Linked DNA regions of Arabidopsis thaliana. The protein of the gene in region 3 interacts with the protein of the main gene of each other region in a pairwise test. Each region holds a gene or a part of one and is shown on either strand. Other genes may lie near its edges.

Region 1 (6,104 bases), on a different chromosome or scaffold from region 3:
ATAAGGGGAAGTTTGAACCATGCTTACAGTTTTTGTGTGTTTTCTGGTCCAACTTATCTTTCCATTCCTTAAGCCGTCTTATTTATGTTACACTGACATTAGAAAGAACAAAAAAAGAGCAGAGACTAAGCAGGAAGGATATGGTCGTTGGAGCAACTTTGGTCTTATTTTCTGATGAAGTGACTGCATCATCTGCTGGCAGTCAGCCAGCTGGTGAATAGTGCTGAGCTCGTTCTTGCCCGTGGTTTTGGAAATGTGGTTAGACACACAGATTTTGAAGAGCGATCAAACCTTTATGATGCTCTTCTGGCTGCTGAAGCTCGTGCTCTGTCAAAGAATCCATTCTGCAAACAGACCTAACTGTGGTTAGTATATCATACGAGTCTCGTGCCATGGCTATCAAGACCCTTTGGTAGAGAAGTCTAAATCTCGAAGCTAAGATTTTGTTGTAAACACTCGAGCTAAAGACGATAAACTGATAATGCTGATGCATGTGATGTACACAACCCATTACTTATCAAATTTCAACTCATAAATGTTGTGATCCACATTCAGATTCATGTGAAACTAAAAGCATACAAAAAAAACATGTTACAATAATCGTCTTAATATCAGGTCCACTACTGTTTGTCTATACGGTGATAAATCAAAACAAAAAGCCCCAAAAATCAAAATCTAATCCTCTTTTTATCTAACTCTCACGCCTCGTCTGCCTCTTTCGTGGTGCAGCCACCGCTTCTGCTTTCTCCTCTGTCTTTGCCTCGCTTGTCGAGGTCTCTGCAGCTGTTTCCGGTTTCTTCTTTTCTACCTTAGCCTACATACATACCAAGAATTTCGTTAAGACTCAAACACCCGCCAACCAAAACATTACATCTCACTGACATGTTTTTTTTTTACCTTTGCACCACCAAATATGAGCTTGAAGAAGAGAGAGAGGAAGACGATCACGATGGAAATGAGCACACCGATGGTTAAGTTTGGCTGTGTTTCAGCTTTCTCAATAAGTTCCTACAAACGAAAATTGCAAATTCTCATTTAAGATTCTTCATTATACAATATGTTTCTAAAGTCTGAAAATGAGAACTTACCATAATCTTTGACTTGTACGCACTAAGGAAAGAAATGTCTGCAACCTTGTACAAGAGGTCGAACACCTTCTTCTGCAGTAATGCACATACATAATATAAGTACAAAGGATATGTATAAGCATTCCAAATTTGTGGCGAAAATCAATATACCTGGTAACTCTTGAGACCATCTGCCTCACCAGCAGCTTCATCCTCTGCCTTTTGTTTCTCTTTCTCCACATCAAACTTGGGCTTCCAAGTGCTTTGTCTGTAAGTTTCAGCAACCTTCTCGTCTTTAGATATCAAGATGTTGTCAAATAAGATACCGTCTTGCATTGTCCATATCTCAATACCAATGGCAGCAATGGGCTCCAAATTCGGCCTCTCAAGCTCAAAATAATCAGGATTTGGAATGTCTCTTGGTTTCCAGATTCCCTTGTAAGCTGGGTTATCTATGAGAGGTGAGCTCCATTTGCCCTTGTAAGCAGGGTTCCTCTTCATCGGTCTCTTCCATTCGCCACATCCGGGTGCTGCCTCACACTTGGTGTTGGAAACCTTAGGAGCCTCCCACTCACCATCTTCCTCGTCATCCCAATCTTCTGGCTTGCTTGCCTCGGGGTCTTCAACCTCTACAGGCTCATCATCCAACCATCCTTCGGGTTTCTCAGCTTCCTCATCTTCAATCTCCATGGGTGCATCCTCATCCCAGTCATCAGGCTTCACAGCATTAGGATCAGGAATCTTGGCTCTCTCATCCCAGTCTTCTGGCTTCTTGTCCTCTGGATCAGGGATGGTCTTGGAAGGAATCAACGGAGGCTCAAAGTCTTCAGCAGACAGTAAATTACCCTTCTTCTTCTCCTCACCATCGACCAAAATCCTCACCTCATTATCAGATTTCAAGACCGCAGTGTAGACATGAGAAAGCATGTCAAACGGAACAGAAGGAGGGAACTTGAGATGGTGCTCAACAAACTCGCCACTCTTGGGATTCTTATGCTTCAAGATGAAATGAACCTTGTTGGTAGCACCACACTTATCAGGTCCAAACATGATAGAGTAAGGAGAATCATTATCAAACCCTTGAGGAACCCATCCAGCTTCTTGAGGACGAAGATACTTTAAGTAAGCACCACCACACTCAAGCCCTTCTTGGAAACGAGCCTCGTATTGAAGAACAACAGTTCCTTCGTTAAGGTTTAGAGGCTCATCAACATCAAGCTCTTTAACTATTCCGTACTTCTTAGCTTTCTCACTCACTAGAAGTCCATAATCATCATGCCCTTCACTCTTCTCGTGCTTCCACACACCTAAAAGATTTCAAATAAGAAGCAACCTTTTAAGAGCTCACACAAAGTCTGTTTCTTATCCACTTATAGTAAAAGTAAACATTTCTAAATCTGTTCCAATAAAAACCAAAACTTTAAGACCCCCTTTTGATTGTAACTTCCATTACACTAATTCTAACTTGTTTTTACTTCAACAGACGAAAGAAAACCAAAAAATTCAAAACACGAATTCACTACGACGACATGGCTTTACCTTGGTATTCAGCTTTCTCTGAAACGACCCAGCGACCATCAAAAGGCTCGTCAAACGATTCATACAGGATCTGAACAACAACAAAAACACCATGTTACTGGAGATTCGATGAACAAATCTTTAAAATAGGAACTTTTTCAAGGAAGTGACCAATCACCGTTTGGTCGTCACAGTAGCTAACACTGGGAAACGAAAGCAAAGCTACAAGAAGCAGCGAAACGAATGTAATAATCCGTTCTCTCATTATCGCAATCTCAAGAGAAGAGACAAAACAGAGACTCAAAATCAAATAAGACAGAGAAGTAACTACTAAGTAAGTACTAAGTAGATCAGAGAGAGAGATATTCTTTACTCTTTAGTCCTCGTATTTCTTAGACCTACGAACGTCATTTTGATTGTTATCTTCCAATGAATATCGCTCGCCAACGTGACACTACCCTATCACCTCTCGCCAAGTCATCCAAAACAAAGCACCGACGCGTGCAAAATTTTACCCCACTAGGGCCTGGTCCTGGGCCTTGACCTGGGCCCAATTAGAATGCGAATGAATCCTCGGACACTCTTAGAAGGTTAGGAAGTTAACCATTTTATCTCATTCAAACCTAGACCCAAGAAATTGGTTTCTCCCAAATGAGTATTTTTACTAAAATCGTTAATCCAGAAGAAAATAGAAGCAAAACGAAGTTGTATTATTACTTCGACCGAAATTTCATTAGATAATTTACATGCTGTTGAAACAACACAAATACACTCAAAAGTTGCTTGATCACTGTAATACATCCAAGAGGAAACAGGATAAAACCTTAACCGACCCATTTGAAAACTCTTTGATCTCCTTCAGATGTTTTATTTATCGACAGAAACATGGAAAACAAAACACATAAACCAGCCTTCATAAAAACTTAGTGAGCTGCAGCAGCCGATATCTTAGGATCAACGCCAACATCCTTAAGCGTCAAGGCACGAGGTTTATGAGCAAACTGGTCTTTCCTGATTGGGTCAGAGATCACATCCTGCTTGTCAAACTCTTGAACGTGAGCTATTTTCCTAAACCAAGACCTGTTAGCGAACCGGTCCGCTTCGTTTAGAACTCTATCTGGATCTTCGATCTCGGGAACGGTCTCTCTCATCTTCTTGTTGACACGTACGCCAGGGTTTTCATGTAGATGAAGATACGCAGTGTAGACACCAAATGTTACTGACAATGAAATCAATCCTATGGAGACGTAAACTGGTGTGAAGTCACCTTTTGTTGCTGCCGCTGTGGTGGCGGTTCTCTGGCCACCATACTCTGTTGCCGCCGTAGAATACGCTTTGGATCTTGGTACGGTTGTCGCCTTCGTGTAAGTTCTTAACCTCTGCACTACGTTTTTCAAGTGACCCTTCAAACACAAAATGATAAAAGTCAAATCGTGAAGACCAAATGAATCATAGAGAAACGACGACGTCTTAGGTTACTTACGGTTGATCGAACGGCCATTGGTTGTTCTTGGCGAGTGATTAGTAAAATCTAGCTGAAAAGAAGAGTAAGATTTGTACTTTTTGTTGTTGTGGATTGTGCTATACTTGAGAGCGTTTTAGATATCGGATATAAAAGGAAGATGGAGACATCTGGAGTAGAGAAGAGAGTTGTAGAAGTAATACGTGTAAGCATTTAAGAACATGCAGTTTAATTCGTGGAAGTGTCTTGAAGATCCACGTCAAATCAGATTCCTTATAATTGGGATTCACTGCAGTAATGCGCGTGTTTTATTTCATTGGTTCTGTCAAAATTAAAAATATGAGATATTAATTATATTTTAAATTTGTATGCCTAATGGATAAGACCAAAATTTGTGTATCTTCTTTTACTGGTAAGCTCTAGCAACCCTCGTCTTACCACGCGACATGTGACAATCACATTGCTGCTGTGTCGATGGAACCGTGCCTTGCATCGAGTAAATGAACCAATGGCACGAAAATCCATCAAGTACTAAATGAACCTATGTCACGAAAGTATGTTCTTTTGTTTTTAAGACAAAAATGAAGAGATTAAATATGTTTGGTGTCAATTCTAATGAAAATAGTTATATTTTCTCGTCTTCGTGTTATCGTTGTATCGACATTCAAATTTAAATTCATATAAATATTATGTAAAAAAGATGGAGAAATATTAAAACGACATTTTCAACGTAATATTTATTGTAGCCATTAATTCTATAAAGTTTGTCTATATTTAAGAAATATAAAATAATTAATGCATTTTTTATGGAGTTCTTTTTATTTCATAGTGCCTTTATTTAAATAGTGAATTCAGTACTATTCATAATTTTAATAGAAAAGTAAAAGTAAACAAGTTATTTGGGATAAAGACTTAACTAAAGTGCTATTTGGGATAAGACTTAACTAAAGTGGGCAAATCTTTCTCAATGAGGAAATTAAACAAGTTTTAACTACTGATTTAAATACAATAAATTGATACGAGTTGAACTAGTGTGCTTGGTGCTTACTAGCTCCCACTTTAATGGAATTAGTGCTTATTCGACGTAATTATTTGCTCATTTCTATTTTTGTTATAAATAAAGCGGTGTAAAGAGCTTTACAATCCTATATAAAGAAAGAAAGGCCTATACATTAACTATGTAAACAATATATATAATCGTATTCACATTTCATCTCTACTTTACGTTCTTTTCAAACTATGAATATTTTTCTTTGTATCGTGACTTTTACTCACTCACCACAATTTTTTAAAAATGATGTTACGTACTTTTATCATCAAGAATAAACTAAATGGCTTAAAGAAGCATTGGTCTTAACTGATTGATGATCAAAGAGTCTCTAAGTTAACCACGACTGTAAACTAAAACCTAGCTACGTAGGTCATAACTTTCAGAAGAAGAAAAAGAAAACTCAAGTTTTTGTTATCCTAGTTTTATTAACTGAAAATGTAATTATGAAAATAACTAATTCCATTTTATTTTCTGAAAAGTTAAGTATTTTTTTTGTCAAACTGGTACAAACTCAATATTAGTGGGTTGAGCTGATGAGGTAAGTGGTCCTCGTATGACCACTAAACTAGATCAGCTCCTTAGAAAATTAGTATTTTACGAAAATATATGATCTATTTAGTAAAAAAATCAAAAATGTATATATTATAGCTAGTGGAATGACGACATTTCTATATAATATATATTCTTGTGTGTGCTAATAGTCATGCAGAAGTCAAAAATAAATAGCATGTTTTTTTTTTGACACTATATATTAATTTTACATTATGAATCACTTATTTACGACTACCACTTAATCATTTTTACGAGTTAAACTTCTATTTTTTTTTCTTTATTTAGCAAAGTAGCCCTACTAATAATAAAGCAAGAAAAAGTATTAACGATAAACAGTAACAACAACAATAATTTATGCTGCGAACTTTAGATAACACATTAATATAATTCCAGCAAGTGGAAGATATATAGCAAAAACTATGCCGACGAAAAAATAATTAAAGAATAATTCCAT
Region 2 (5,630 bases), on a different chromosome or scaffold from region 3:
GAGATTATCGTCACTGTTGTGCAGCTGTTTGCAGCGAACCAAAACAAGCCTGCGGATATAGTCAACATTCTGGTGGCCAACAGAAGCAAGCTTCTGAGATTGTTGGCTGATTTGAAACCAGACAAAGGTATGAAACTAATCTTGTTAAGTGAAACGCTTGTATCCGATCCTTCTGCTCCTTAACCTTATTAAAGCATTGTTTGGTTCATTTGGTTGACAGAGGATGAGAGGTTTGAAGCAGACAAAAGTCAGGTTTTGAGAGAAATCGCAGCCCTTGAACCTCGAGATCTTGCTTGAACCAACTAATGCAATTCATCCTTCCTTCCCTTTTAAAACACTCGAAAAGACATTTTTGAAGCATCTTGTTGTTTTTTTACATTAGGTAACCAATCTTCCTCTCACTTTCTCACCACACACACACACACACACACACACACACACACACATACACATACGAGATATCTATTCGATATATGTATTCATATGTACACTACTTCACTGTCGATGAAATAAAATGGTTTGTCAAAAGCTCACATCATGAATGTTGTAAAAGAGCACAAGAGTCTTTCAACTTCAACAACTATTAAACATCAAATGTATTAACTTAATCTCGAAAACAAACAAAAATTAACAACCACAAGCCCATAATGACCAAATAAACCAGAACATTTTACTCTAATCTTTACAGAGTCTACACGTATAGAGACCGACCATCGTTGCCTACTCGTTGACTTGTTTTCGCAGATGCCTCTGCTTTCCCTCTCTTTATGACTACATACCAAGTAAACCCTTCGAGCACAACCGCGACTATACCTAGTACTACGATTATGGCGGTGTAAGCGTTTCTCCACTGCTTCTCAGGGCTCAGGATGTCTAGTCCTTTAAAAACGTTTACCACCGCAAGAATGATCACTGAATAGCCTACAGTGTGGTGATAAATGTTCCAGTAGACTCTGTACTTGTGCTCTGGTTTGGGTCTCAAAAACATTGCAAACACCTAACGTGTGAAACAAGCAACTTAGTAATTGCAACATATTCATGACAAGTGTAATACTCTCTGTACTGTTAACTAAAACCTACCTGAATTGTTGCGAGGCAGAAGAGAGCGATCCCAACAGCACGGTGAAAGGTAAACTGAATCCCGGCTGATTCGTTGCCCAGTTTGAGACCGGTCGCCCAACCGGCAACACCAATGATGTAAGCAGAAGACTGGCAGAAAACATGAAGGTAGAACCAAGCAGGATCTGCTGATTTTGAGACTTTCAAGTAGCGAGCAATGATTGCTCCTATTGGCATCATTATACCCCAGCTCACACCGTTCAATATTCCATGTATCTGCAATAATGATTAGGAGTGATAAGTTTCATAAAACCAACTAACAATGATGGGATTGATAAATCTCATTTCATATGTGAGATTCCTAAAAAACATGAAATGAAGAAATTGATAAAACCATGGACTCACGTTGCGTTTGCGTAGCTTGGAAGCTCCTCCTGCTCCGGTAGAGGTGGATCCAGATGCACCAGAGACAAGGTTAAGAGTAGAAACAGAACGAACATTGTTGCCAGAAGTTGGATGAGGCAGAGGATTGTTCCCTGACAGTGACCCATCTTGCCACACAGTGTTAATGATTCCACCATTCGCAAGTGGAAGATTCAGAATTGCGTAGATGACCATCTCGTTGTTTTGGTAAGTGGCAGACAACTGAGAGACGTTGAAACTCAGCTCAGCTTCTAGGAGACTCGTTTGGTAGCTACTGATGGGTGACGTATAAGCCCTAACGGTGCCGTCTGATTGTGGATAAGCCACAATGGCTTGAGCTCCGACCATGCCAGTAGATGTGGGATTCACGGCCCATGCCACCCATTTCCCGGGGGTGAGCTTTGTGTGGCGATACGCGATTTGGAGATTGCCTGAAGAAGAATCGTAAGTGTAGTGGAGGAAGGAATCAAGAACAGGTAGGTCGTTGCAAGACTCAAAGAGACGGTTGGTGGAGAATTTGTAGTTGGAACATTTCTGAGCCAAGGCGGATTTGGTGATGATGAAAATGAAAAGAGAGAGACAAAGGAGAAGATTTGAGGATATGGCCATGGAAACAGAATCTCGAGTAATGATTAAAAGATGGATGAATGATAAGATTTAAGTATGAAGGGGAAGAGAGGAGAATGAGATTAAGTATGAATAGAAAGTGGAACAAGTAGGGTTTGGTTTGTTAGTTAATCTGTCTTAATACAGAATCTCTAATTCTCTTCACACGTGTCCTTTTTTCATAGTTTAATCTTTCTTTTAATCCTCTGCTTTTGTTCTTGTTCATCTATCAATTGCAATGTTTTACCTAAGAGTAAAAAATAGAAACATTATAAATGAAGCGTTCATTGTTTTCCCAAAAAGGTTTGACGTGTAATGTATTTCTTCCTTAAGAGTCTTTAACCCTCTCAAGCAAAAACCAAGAAATAAAAATATGAAGGGGTCATCTTCACGTTCAAAAACCAGTTCACACCAACTTTATTACGAGAACTCATTTCTCGTGTTTATTTTTTCTTTGTTTGTCATGAAAAATCTTTTTCATTGTATATAGGTTTTGTCATGACATTGCGCGTTAAGTTAGATTATAATCTTGGTACGCTTGGGAATTGGGATGATGATAAATTATTGAGCACACTAAAATATTAGGTTTCATTGGGTTTAGTGGTTCAATTGACGAAAGTAGACTAGCGAAGGGAGTAGTGGTTTTCGCGTAATAAAGGGCAAACACGTCTATGCCTGCAACTACTAACGTTGTGCATGTATGATGTACCCTAAGTAAACATCTACCACCTTATGAGTATGGACTGGAGCGGACCAGACCAACAAACTGTTTATGAGAGATTCCAATCCAAGGGAAGTGGTTGGGTTTAGCTATTTTTAGAGTTATGTTCTTCTATATATAGGCCGCGACCAACATTTCAACGGTTAAGACCATGTACATGAGTGATATTTTTAGAATATCATCAGTGTAAAAATTATTTTTTTATTAACCAAACAATTAGAATGAGTTTGATTAGTATCATTCCAGTGATTTTCTTGATATCAGTATCATCTACGTGACATCTCCTGATTGGTAGCATTTATTAAAAGTAAGAAAAAAAATATTTATCTATTAAACAAACATTATAAATAATACTAAAATTTTTTTAATGATACTTTGAGAATATCACCTATAAGCATGCTCTAACCAGGTGGATGTATAATAATGTCCTTTCTTGGTCAACGCTCAAATTACTACCTGCCACATGTCCCCCACTAGATTCTTTGGTGTAGCTGGGCTCAGTTTGAACTAGACTCTTTTATATGGGCTTAAGTGTTAATTATCAAAAAACAACCCAAAATGAGATATTTAGATATAATATGTTTTTGATGGAAAAAAAGGAAAGATATAATATGTTTTTTTGATGAATGAAAAGTATTACAATTATTCAAAAAATCACTAGTTTCCTGAAAAACAATACAAATTGCATAGTTTCAGAAGGATAATCTGATTTGGGTAGAGTTTGTTGATGTTAGAAATATAAATATTTTCTTTTATAAATAAAATAGGATGGAAAATCCATCATATTTGAAAGTTTTGTTGTGTCTAATAAATAACAGTAGAGTGTACATAATCGGTAACTTTTTTTTCCTTAACTAAAATTTTAAGTGAAACTAAAACAAAGGTGGTAAAAAAAAGTAGAGCCTATGGTAAAATAGGGTAAGAGGGTCCATAAGGGCCCAAGATGTTTTATTTTTGCTGAGCCCATTATTACCAATCCGAACCGAAATGGAAAAACTCCGGTCTCTTTCTTTCTCTCTCTCTCTGCCAGAGTTACTGCGTGTCTTTGATTTCCCAGAAGAAGGCGTTGAATCCTTTCGTTTTCCGATTCCATTTTTGGGATCTCTTGTTTCGTTTTCTTCTCTTTGGATCCATTCCATTCCCATGTTCCCCAATTTCTTTAATCGGTGTTGCTTCCACAAGGTAATTTTGTTTTCCTCTGCACTTCCCGAGAATAAAGAGAAGGTTTTTCTCAATTTTCCCCTTATGATTATCCCTGTAAATGCGAGTTTTTTGTCCTGTTTTGTCTAATGGGTCTTCATAATTCGTGATCATCAACGTTTTCTCTGTCTTGTGTGTGTATGTATGTGTGTGATCTTACATCTGACGGGAATGTAATGTGATGATCTCTCATGTAAAATTCTGTTTTTACTTGGTTTGATTGTTTCTATTACAATGCTCTGTTTTTGCTTTAAAGAGTTCTTACAATATCTCCTCCTTCTCTTTTGCGAAAATGGGTTCTTACTTGGGTTTAGTTTCTTAGGTGAAGTTTCGATTATTTTTTTGAATTGGTGTTTTATAAGTTTTGATGTCTCATCATCTTTTTCAGAAAGAAATGTGTGGCCTACTTTCATTTTCTAATGCCGTATATGAAGATTTTCATATTCAGGCAGATATTATAAACCTGCAGCAATCATTAACTCGATTCATCTTTAATGTGAGCCCTAAGGACAAGACTGAGAATTTTCTATCAGTGTTTAAGATTGCACTTTGTGTGATCAAGTGAATGAGTATTGTTGGTTGAATTGGGCCCGCGCTTGTCTTTTCTGTCTCAATTCTGTTTCTCCTTATGATAGAGAGAATATTTCTCTGCTTTCCTATTGGTGGCTTTCATGATTTGTGAATAGTCAGTATCTACCGACTTTAACTTAGATTCTTAGGGTGAGATTATAACTAAAGTTAGCTTTACTTGTTGTATATAGGCTTCATGAGCTTGTATAACAAGTTTCTCTAGGAGGTGTTAAAGAGCCAGATCAAGCTTTCAGAAGAGGTAACTTGTATTGCTGTCTTACTTTGGATCCAGAATGCGTTTATGTGCTGAATACTTTGCTTGTGATAGATTTTCTTAGGGTGGTTGAGAGCTGAAAGTTTTGATATTTAGTCAACTTTGTTCCACTGAACCTTCTAGGAAGCTACCTCAAGTAGACAGGTGATCTTAAAGATTCTCTTGTTTCTCTTAGATCTCAATCTTTACTGTTTCTCAAGTTTCCTATGCCAACTCTACTTATTCTTGTCTTCCCTCTTCCTCACTTTGGCTCTTTGTTTTGTCCTTAGCTTTGTTGACGGGCTTCAAGCCAGTGGTAAAGATATGCTTCTGTAGAAGGGTTAATCTTGAGCATTAAAGGACATGGCTTTCTACTCTGAAGACGACAAGAGCGAAGACTACCTCTTTAAGATTGTTCTAATCGGTGATTCTGCTGTCGGGAAATCAAATTTACTTGCCAGATTTGCGAGGGATGAGTTCTATCCCAATTCAAAGTCGACGATTGGAGTGGAGTTTCAGACACAGAAGATGGATATAAACGGGAAGGAGATCAAAGCACAGATATGGGACACAGCAGGTCAAGAACGTTTTAGAGCAGTCACTTCTGCATATTACCGAGGTGCAGTTGGAGCTCTTCTGGTTTACGATATCAGCAGACGGCAGACTTTTCACAGCATTGGTAGATGGCTCAACGAGCTACACAGTAAGAAACCTCTTATCTTTTCTTATCTGCTACTAAACAATCTCCCATTTGCTAATTGATTCAAGAATAATGAAAGTGAGGGGTGTCTTCATAAA
Region 3 (9,244 bases):
TATTAGGAAGCGATTTGACAAACGACAGTTAGGTACAGTAGATAGAAAGAATATTTATTACACTGCTTTTCCAAACCACGCGATTTATTTTAATATCTTCAAGTCTAAACAAACGCTTAACCACCTCCACCTTCTCTCGGGAAGCGAGTTTCTTAATTTTCTTCTTACTTTCCTTCTCCATCTTCTCTTCCGAACTTAGGGGCTGATTGTGCGGATGACTTTTGGCGAAAATGTACGGACAACCACGGAAGTTATTAGCTTAAATATTCGGAAGCGATTTAAAAAAAAAAAACAATTAGGTACGATATATACAAAACAGTTCTTCAGTATTTTCATATCCTCGGACCCGGGAATCTTACGCTCAACCTTATCCCTTTTCATCTTCTCTTCGGAAGCGAGTGGATCATGGGCGCGATTTAGGGTTTCTCCACTTCACGCAATTTATATACCTCACTTCTTGGATATTTAGAAATAAGAAATTACATAAATTGGTCATATATGTAATTTCAAGTCTTAATATCGTTTTTTAAAAAAATTTGAAATTACATTTACAAATCGAAAAGTGTTAAAAAAAACTTAAAGATACCAATTTGACCTAACTTTTTTTTTTTTTTGGACCTAACTTTTAAATTAGAGAATTGGAGACAATGAGAAATCGCTGTCGAACATACATTGTCGCAAAACTCCGCCGTCATTGTTCCCCGAATCCCTGACAGTGAACTTCATTGTTCAAGCGAGGTGAGTTTCCTATTTTTCTTCTTCTCCTTTCAATTAAAATTTCAGGGTTTATGATCTCTAGGGTTTAGGTTTTATTTTCTTAAACTAAACCCTAAATTCTTTTTCTTCTTCTTTTTCTTGTAATTTCCAGATGCACTGCGAACGCTAGAGGAGGTGCGATATCGAAGAGGAAGCGTTATACAGGATCATGGGACCAAAATATATCGTATAGATTCGGTTCTTGTTCTTCTATACCTTATGAGAGTAGAAGTTTTTCTCTTCAAGAGAAAAAAAAAAAAAAGAAAAAAAAAAAAGAAGAGTAGAAATTTCTCTGTGTTTTTTTTTACCAACAAGACACAAATGAAACTGGTCCAAAAGGAGTGTGTATAATCTCTGTGGAGACATAACTAATACGTTGATGAATTTCAAGAATACTTGGATTATATAGATTAACCCTGACTCCCTTAGATAGAGATCGAAATCGGGTGGTGATTTCTGAGACCATACAAGTTCTGATCAGATTACTACTAAGTAAATCTTAATTATTAGACTGTTTTTAATGGATTTTTCTGCTCTAATGATAACGTAATGAGATTTTTTTTTTTTTTTTGTATGTTTGGCTTGCAGACCCGGGTAATGAGAAGTTTGGTAAGAGCAAAAGGCACTAATCTCACGTAAGAAAACACTTTTTTCATCAACCATGTATATAATCATGTCGGTTTACATAAACCGTATCGTCTATTCAAGAATTTAGTTTTGTATAATTATAATATTTTTTTCAGACTACTTTTCAATTAAGCATCTTTTTCTTGGATTTTTTTTTCACAAAGGGAGAGCTTTAACTTTTTGCATTAACTTATATATTTTAAATTATACATGCATGCATACCGACTTATATAAATCATATGGTCAATATGAGACTTTTGATTTATATTATTTGTCAACTAAGCATCTTTTCAGATGAGGTTCATGCACCTTTGTTAGAATTATCGGACCAGAAGATCACATCAACGTTTACCAAATCAACAAAAAAATCCAATCCGTCCAAAAAATTTGGAAACTGTTTGAAAGATTCGAAATGTTGGAGCAAGGATACTCAGTTCCAATCTCTGAGCAGAATCTGATATGACTCATCTACTCATAAGACTTTGCGAGATAGACCGGTACAAAACCGTTTCCAAGGGTTCATAATATATGGATTAATGTGAGTTATTGTGGACGTTGTGGTTGTAGAAGCCGCGGTAGTCGTGGAAACACTAATTAGTTATCTCCTGTAAGCTATTTTTATTTTTTTTCCTCACTTCCTCTTCCTCGCAGCTATGTATAATTTTGGTTGGTTATCTCCAAAACTTTTTATGGTCAAACAATTTTGAGAAAGTAATTTGGAAAGAAAAAAGGTTTAAGAATATCTTTTTATCGTCAAGTCCTCCTCCAAATTACTTCCTTAAAACTGTTTGACCATAAAAAGTCATAGCAAGGTATTAGTTATTCTAATTTAAATTAAACGCCTTTTTATCAACAACAAAAAAAAGAAGAAGATTTGATATGTTGAAAAGTATTAGGGACGCTTATTAGGGCAGTATTCCTAGTTATTGCATTTTCTTTCGGTCATTCGACCTTAGGATCATACCTCAATCTGTATGACTGTATTCGCCATGTGAATTCCAATATTACATAGTGACCAAATTTGATATCCAACTAAAAGTCGATCTTTGATCTAAACGAAATGACAACTATTTGGTTAGTGATTGCAGGTTGGAAAGATTTACCTTCTAGACCTGTCTTACGAAGCTAGTATTCTAAAGTAATCTTCATAAACCGAATTCAGAAACAAAAAAAGAAAAGGAGTCCAAAATTGTATGATCATACATTAATATCAGAATAGTCTCTTTTGTTAAATAAATATCTGAAGAATATATATCTCTTTGATTATTTTGTGGATGGCAATGAAACTAAGAATATATATTCATTGACTTAGAAGTCGACAAAAAAAAATAAAAAAATTATTGACTTAATTACTAGTTGACCAATATATATATTATTAAAAGAACATATTGTATCGTTGAAAGCGGATCATCGGGTTTTAAAAGAAAAACACATCGTTGAAACTTGAAAGTGATGACTAATAAAAAGATCTAAACGTGTCCGGTCACCTACCAATGTGGTTTTGCAAATTATTGTCAAGTACCTTGACTATATTAAATAAAAAAATTCACCGTAACACATTGATATTCAACTGATTCCTAAAAAAATATACAAACTATTGGGAGTTGTGAGATTTTTTATATCAGTGTTGGTCTCTTTACATTTGTGATGTGGTGTTATAGCATATATAGTAATAAACTCAAAAGGAAATTAGATGTGTTTTGACCATTTATTAAAATGAACCTTTTCTTGTCAAACATTTGAAAAATACTAGTTTTTTTTTTTGGCAACGTTGTAAATAATAGTTAAAAATAGATTTTAAGTCTCGTTTTTTTATGCATATAGTTTCATTCGCTTTATTAGACTCAAATATACTTTTAATTAAATTTTGCAGAGAATTAAAGGTAATCATTTGCCAAGGAAAAACCATGCAAATATGCAATAAGTAGAAATAATGTTAATGAGAGTAAGCGTTGACATATATTACGTCCTGGTCCGAACATTCTTAAAGTTGCGTAACACTAATAACCTTAGAAGATGGTTGGTTGACTATCAACATCTTATTGACCAAATGTTTTTTTTTTTTTAATTATAAAACAGTTGCTCATTGCTCTAGCCCAGAGAAAGCAGCTCAATTAAGTAAATGGCGATGTTAAAATCTCTTTCATCGATTTTATTCACAAGCTTTGCTCTTCTGTTCTTTCTTGTTCATGCTCAAGATCAATCTGGTAATTTAAAACAGTCTTGGCTTTGTTTAATATTCAGATGCTAAAATACGTTTTTACATCAAGTGCATCGTTTAGTTAAGAATTTGCATACAATTTTCCCAGAAAACTACTCTCCCTTAGTATTTATCTTGAAGCAAACCAAGCTTCCATACATCAATCGTATCTTCTTTTCTCTCATTCTCTGAGTGTTACAGGTTTCATAAGTATAGATTGCGGGATACCGGATGATTCTAGCTACAACGATGAGACTACAGGTATAAAGTATGTTTCGGATTCGGCGTTTGTTGATTCAGGAACAACAAAGAGAATTGCAGCTCAGTTTCAATCAAGTGGTTTTGATAGACACTTGTTGAACGTGAGAAGTTTCCCTCAAAGCAAGAGAAGCTGTTACGATGTTCCGACGCCGAGAGGCAAAGGTTTTAAGTATCTAATCAGAACTCGTTTCATGTACGGGAACTATGATGATCTTGGAAGAGTACCCGAGTTCGATCTCTATCTAGGAGTAAACTTTTGGGACTCTGTTAAACTCGACGATGCAACAACTATACTCAACAAAGAGATAATCACCATTCCACTTTTAGACAATGTTCAAGTGTGTGTTGTTGATAAGAACGCAGGAACTCCATTTTTGTCTGTCTTGGAGATACGGCTCTTGTTGAACACTACTTATGAGACTCCTTACGATGCACTTACCCTCCTTCGGAGATTAGATTACAGCAAAACGGGAAAACTTCCATCGAGGTGAGCCTTAACAAGAAACTTTGATTATTTTACAAGGAAACTTTTTTGTTTTTGCAGTTTCTCATACACATTTGTGTAGGTACAAAGATGACATATATGACCGTATATGGACACCGCGTATAGTGAGTTCAGAATACAAGATATTAAATACATCTCTCACTGTCGATCAATTTCTTAACAATGGCTACCAACCGGCTTCTACTGTCATGAGCACTGCAGAAACAGCGCGAAACGAGAGCCTCTACCTAACGCTTAGTTTCAGACCGCCCGACCCTAACGCAAAGTTTTATGTATACATGCACTTTGCTGAAATTGAAGTACTGAAAAGCAACCAGACGAGAGAATTCAGCATCTGGCTAAATGAGGATGTAATCTCTCCTTCGTTTAAGCTTCGGTACTTGCTTACCGACACATTCGTTACACCGGATCCCGTGAGCGGAATTACCATTAACTTCTCTCTTCTTCAACCACCTGGTGAATTTGTACTTCCACCGATCATTAACGCCCTTGAGGTCTATCAAGTCAATGAGTTCCTTCAGATCCCAACTCATCCACAGGATGGTAATTAAGGCTTTTTTTATATGGTACAAACTTCCTCCGAAGTTTTTTTCGGTTATGTCTGATTTCGTTTATATGCTCTTATAGTTGATGCCATGAGGAAGATTAAAGCCACGTATAGAGTGAAGAAGAACTGGCAAGGAGATCCTTGTGTTCCCGTAGATTATTCTTGGGAAGGTATTGACTGTATCCAAAGTGATAACACTACTAATCCTAGAGTCGTTTCACTGTAAGTTAGTGTTTAAATTTATAGATATCTGTTCTGTTTTACTCTGCTTTGTTCTGTTGTGCTCTGTTTTGCTCTGTTTTTGTTTTGTCCTAAACATCTCTATTTGGCAGAAATATATCTTTTAGTGAATTAAGAGGCCAGATAGATCCAGCCTTCTCCAACCTTACATCTATAAGAAAATTGTCGGTATTTTTTTTCATGTAATAATCACTGACACTCTGTGATACACAGAGTTCCTTACTAACACAATCATTTTTCATTACAGAGATTTATCCGGTAATACTTTAACAGGAGAAATACCTGCTTTCCTCGCTAACTTACCAAACTTGACCGAATTGTGAGTCATATCAACTAGAGCAAATATTTCACTTGATCAGTGAAGCAAAAGATATCTTTGAATTTACGAGTTGATGTGGATTCGTATATGCAGAAACGTTGAAGGAAACAAGTTAACGGGCATAGTTCCACAAAGATTGCATGAAAGATCAAAGAATGGATCTCTTTCCTTAAGGTTTGCGACTCGTAAAAGCTACCTTTTATTAATTTTAGTTTAGTTCTTCCTCTTTGAATGTGATTTAGAACCGATAATTCCGCAATGCGCTTTGACAAGATTCATTCCTAACATGTCTACATTGTAACTTTATAGATTTGGTAGAAATCCGGACCTTTGTCTCTCTGATTCCTGTTCAAACACAAAGAAGAAGAACAAGAATGGATACATCATTCCATTAGTAGTCGTAGGAATCATCGTCGTTCTTTTGACGGCTTTAGCTTTGTTCCGGCGTTTCAAGAAAAAACAACAAAGAGGTATGATACTAAAAACAAATTTCTGCCAATAAAGAAAGTAACTAAACGAGGTTCTTATAGGTACACTTGGTGAGAGGAATGGGCCGTTGAAAACTGCAAAGCGATACTTTAAGTACTCAGAAGTTGTGAATATCACAAATAACTTTGAGAGAGTTATTGGCAAAGGAGGTTTTGGTAAAGTATACCATGGTGTCATAAATGGAGAACAAGTTGCTGTCAAGGTACTCTCTGAAGAATCAGCTCAAGGCTACAAAGAGTTTCGAGCAGAGGTTTTTTTTGCGTACCTTTCAAGGACTTAATCTTAATTTATCTCAAACTTTTTCACCTAACTAATCTAGTTGAGAATCGCAGGTTGACCTTCTCATGAGAGTTCATCACACGAACCTGACTTCTCTTGTTGGATATTGCAACGAAATAAACCACATGGTGCTTATCTATGAGTATATGGCTAATGAGAACTTAGGAGACTATTTGGCAGGTTAATTAATGATTCTTCTTTTGTTCACTAATCTTATGTTCATAATGTACTGAGAAAGGAACTTTGGTTTTGTTTCATTTTGTGAAGGTAAAAGGTCATTTATCTTGAGCTGGGAAGAGAGGTTGAAGATATCATTAGATGCAGCGCAAGGTTCGGGAAGTCCCATCTTGAAATTACATTTAACTAAATCTAACATGCGAAAATCAATCAATGAAGTGTGTGTTTTCTTGTCTATAAAACAAATTCAGGACTAGAGTATCTTCACAATGGTTGTAAGCCTCCTATAGTTCACAGAGATGTGAAGCCAACAAACATCTTACTAAACGAGAAGCTCCAAGCGAAGATGGCGGACTTCGGGTTATCTAGAAGCTTCTCTGTTGAAGGAAGCGGTCAGATTTCAACAGTTGTCGCTGGATCCATCGGTTACCTTGACCCCGAGTAAGTAATAAAAACCTTCTTAATTACTATTTCTCCAAACTAAAGAATACAAATGTTTCATCTAGGGTGACACATATTATTGAAACTACAGGTACTATTCGACTCGCCAAATGAACGAAAAGAGTGATGTTTATAGTCTTGGGGTTGTTCTTCTTGAAGTGATTACAGGCCAACCTGCTATTGCAAGCTCAAAAACAGAGAAGGTGCATATAAGTGATCATGTCAGGTCAATATTAGCCAACGGAGACATTAGAGGAATCGTGGATCAGCGTCTAAGAGAGAGATATGACGTTGGCTCGGCTTGGAAAATGTCAGAGATCGCTCTTGCTTGTACCGAGCACACTTCTGCGCAGAGGCCAACGATGAGTCAGGTCGTTATGGAGCTGAAACAGATTGTTTATGGCATAGTGACTGATCAGGAAAACTACGATGACTCGACGAAAATGCTTACAGTGAATCTAGACACCGAGATGGTTCCTCGAGCAAGGTAGTGAATTTCTTCAGAGTAGAAAAAGAAGAATAAATTTGTATTCAATTTGCTTTTGTGTCTCAATAAATACATTAATCTTACTTGCAAATGGTTGCTGAATAATATGTATGCCAAGACATTATTTATATGCACTTAGGTCAAGTGTCAAAGGGAAGAATTGTCATTATAAATGAAATTGTCAAGTTACCCGAGCATCACCATAAACTCTGGCAAGTGGAAGAAGCCCCCAAGCTAATTATATTAAGTCAATTATAAAACATAGTAAACAAGGTGTATAAAGTCACCCAAAGATCATATAACTCCCATGGTTTTCAACTGTATGTACAAACTGCTTGAGTTTCGATCGTCATCTGTTTTTTCCAATCCTGTCCTGTACATCCAAGGTATTTGTCAGGAACACATTTCATTGCTACTTCAAATCTATAATCAACTTGTAAAAAAATTTCTTTACATTGTCATTACCTGCTCTCTCGTGCTGGAAAAGGTATCGAATCACTCTTCACCATCTTCAGGTTTAAAAGAGTAAATAGGATCTGGATAATGTGCTAGCTTCACTTCCAACATCTCATTCCCCGGGATTTTCAACTCCACGCTAGCTTCTTCCTCTTGTGTAGATGAGGAACCATCTTAACATTTTCATAGACATACACAAACATATCACCACAGATATCAGCAAATAACCCTAACAACGACTCAACCATATCTTTCGAAAACGAGACACAAACATCAAAACAAATCAGCTCTAGTATTGCTCTAAATGTTCATGTAGATAATAATGTTCAAATATTCTCTTCCCTAAGTAACCCAACAAAATCTCAACTTTGTCTCATGAATTGGGTTTAACATTGAGGAAAATCTCAAAAGGAATCTTTTTTAACAAGCAGAACCAAAAAACAAGTAAGACCCATCAGAGCAATTACCTGGAGGAGGAATGAAGAAAGAGGAACAAGGCCAACCATAAGGAGACGAAAGCGAAAGAGACTCTTCCTCCGTCAACGGATTAGTCACCTTATCGACCAAATTGGCGATCTTTGTAGCCGTAATCTGATGAGGAGGTACCCAAAAGGAAGAGCCAGGTGCAAAAGGAAGCCAATCTGGAGTCGAATTATGAACGATGATCCTTCGTACGAATTCGTTTAGCTTTTTGAGAATTGCTGCTTCCGCTTCGTTTTTAGAATCGATTTCAAGCTCGATGACTTGTGGGATGGATGAAAAGCGGCGGCTGAAACAGACGACGTTTGGTGGTGTCGTAATCGCCGGCTCGTTGAAACGACGGAGGAGGAATCTTCCGTTGGGAATTAGGGTTTTTGAGAGCAATCGAGACATTTTTAGGAGAGAGAGTCAAGAAAGAGAAAGTTTGAGATTTTTTTTACATTTATAAACGATGACAGAGTTCGTGAAACTGAAACGGGTACAAATTGGGATCCGAATCCCTGAGATCCGATCCAATTATAGAAAATTAATAGAAAAACAAATAACCTTTTTTTCTTGGTCAATTTTTTTTTTTCTTTGGTCAATTTTTTTTCTTTTTTGATGGTAAATTTATTTCTTTTTTGATGGTAAATTTATTGATAAGAAAAAAGTATATTTGAAAAATTGAAATAACTTAAAACATGAAATTAGCATCATATCCGCAAGACTAACCATTTGACAGGATAAGACAAAGTTTTGGTGAATCTTGTACATGTTAGAACTCATTCAGTTGTGGATTTTCTAAATAAAACAGCAAGTCCAATTTCTAAATTTTAAAATTAACTTCAATCAATTATTAATGTTTGAGCAAACCCAAATATATATATATATAAAAAAGGAAAAAAAATCTAACAAAAGACGAGTGGATTGGGCTTGAAATGGGCACCGATTGATCTAATCCGGTGGCCCTAAAGTATAAGTGATGAATAGTATTCTTGGTA

Evidence for each region. Proteins that work in one complex are often made in the same cells at the same time.
Region 1: the proteins of FRK1 (region 3) and AT5G07340 interact in a protein complementation assay, tested with the Arabidopsis thaliana proteins (one large-scale study listed by BioGRID).
Region 2: the proteins of FRK1 (region 3) and AT5G47530 interact in a protein complementation assay, tested with the Arabidopsis thaliana proteins (one large-scale study listed by BioGRID).

Annotation. Positions count from the first base shown.
Region 1 is NC_003076.8:2,314,046-2,320,149, reverse strand, and holds AT5G07340 (Calreticulin family protein), read right to left. Parts: upstream 2,938-6,104; 5' UTR 2,851-2,937; coding exon 2,740-2,850; intron 2,677-2,739; coding exon 2,607-2,676; intron 2,375-2,606; coding exon 1,239-2,374; intron 1,161-1,238; coding exon 1,089-1,160; intron 1,009-1,088; coding exon 898-1,008; intron 815-897; coding exon 692-814; 3' UTR 501-691; downstream 1-500. Other genes in the region: Tudor1 (TUDOR-SN protein 1), read left to right, coding at 1-28, 107-129; AT5G07330 (NFU1 iron-sulfur cluster protein), read right to left, coding at 3,509-3,988, 4,069-4,086. UniProt on the Arabidopsis thaliana protein: Calcium-binding protein that interacts with newly synthesized monoglucosylated glycoproteins in the endoplasmic reticulum. It may act in assisting protein assembly and/or in the retention within the ER of unassembled protein subunits.
Region 2 is NC_003076.8:19,277,932-19,283,561, reverse strand, and holds AT5G47530 (Auxin-responsive family protein), read right to left. Parts: upstream 2,189-5,630; 5' UTR 2,092-2,188; coding exon 1,465-2,091; intron 1,336-1,464; coding exon 1,081-1,335; intron 998-1,080; coding exon 692-997; 3' UTR 501-691; downstream 1-500. Other genes in the region: AT5G47540 (Mo25 family protein), read left to right, coding at 25-127, 221-297; RABA5a (RAB GTPase homolog A5A), read left to right, coding at 5,196-5,535. UniProt on the Arabidopsis thaliana protein: May act as a catecholamine-responsive trans-membrane electron transporter.
Region 3 is NC_003071.7:8,324,155-8,333,398, reverse strand, and holds FRK1 (FLG22-induced receptor-like kinase 1), read left to right. Parts: upstream 1-3,454; 5' UTR 3,455-3,505; coding exon 3,506-3,590; intron 3,591-3,784; coding exon 3,785-4,331; intron 4,332-4,410; coding exon 4,411-4,892; intron 4,893-4,976; coding exon 4,977-5,118; intron 5,119-5,228; coding exon 5,229-5,300; intron 5,301-5,383; coding exon 5,384-5,455; intron 5,456-5,548; coding exon 5,549-5,629; intron 5,630-5,764; coding exon 5,765-5,925; intron 5,926-5,985; coding exon 5,986-6,194; intron 6,195-6,276; coding exon 6,277-6,403; intron 6,404-6,490; coding exon 6,491-6,553; intron 6,554-6,651; coding exon 6,652-6,841; intron 6,842-6,932; coding exon 6,933-7,332; 3' UTR 7,333-7,350; downstream 7,351-9,244. Other genes in the region: AT2G19180 (uncharacterized protein), read right to left, coding at 7,824-7,957, 8,252-8,657. UniProt on the Arabidopsis thaliana protein: Involved in innate immune response of plants.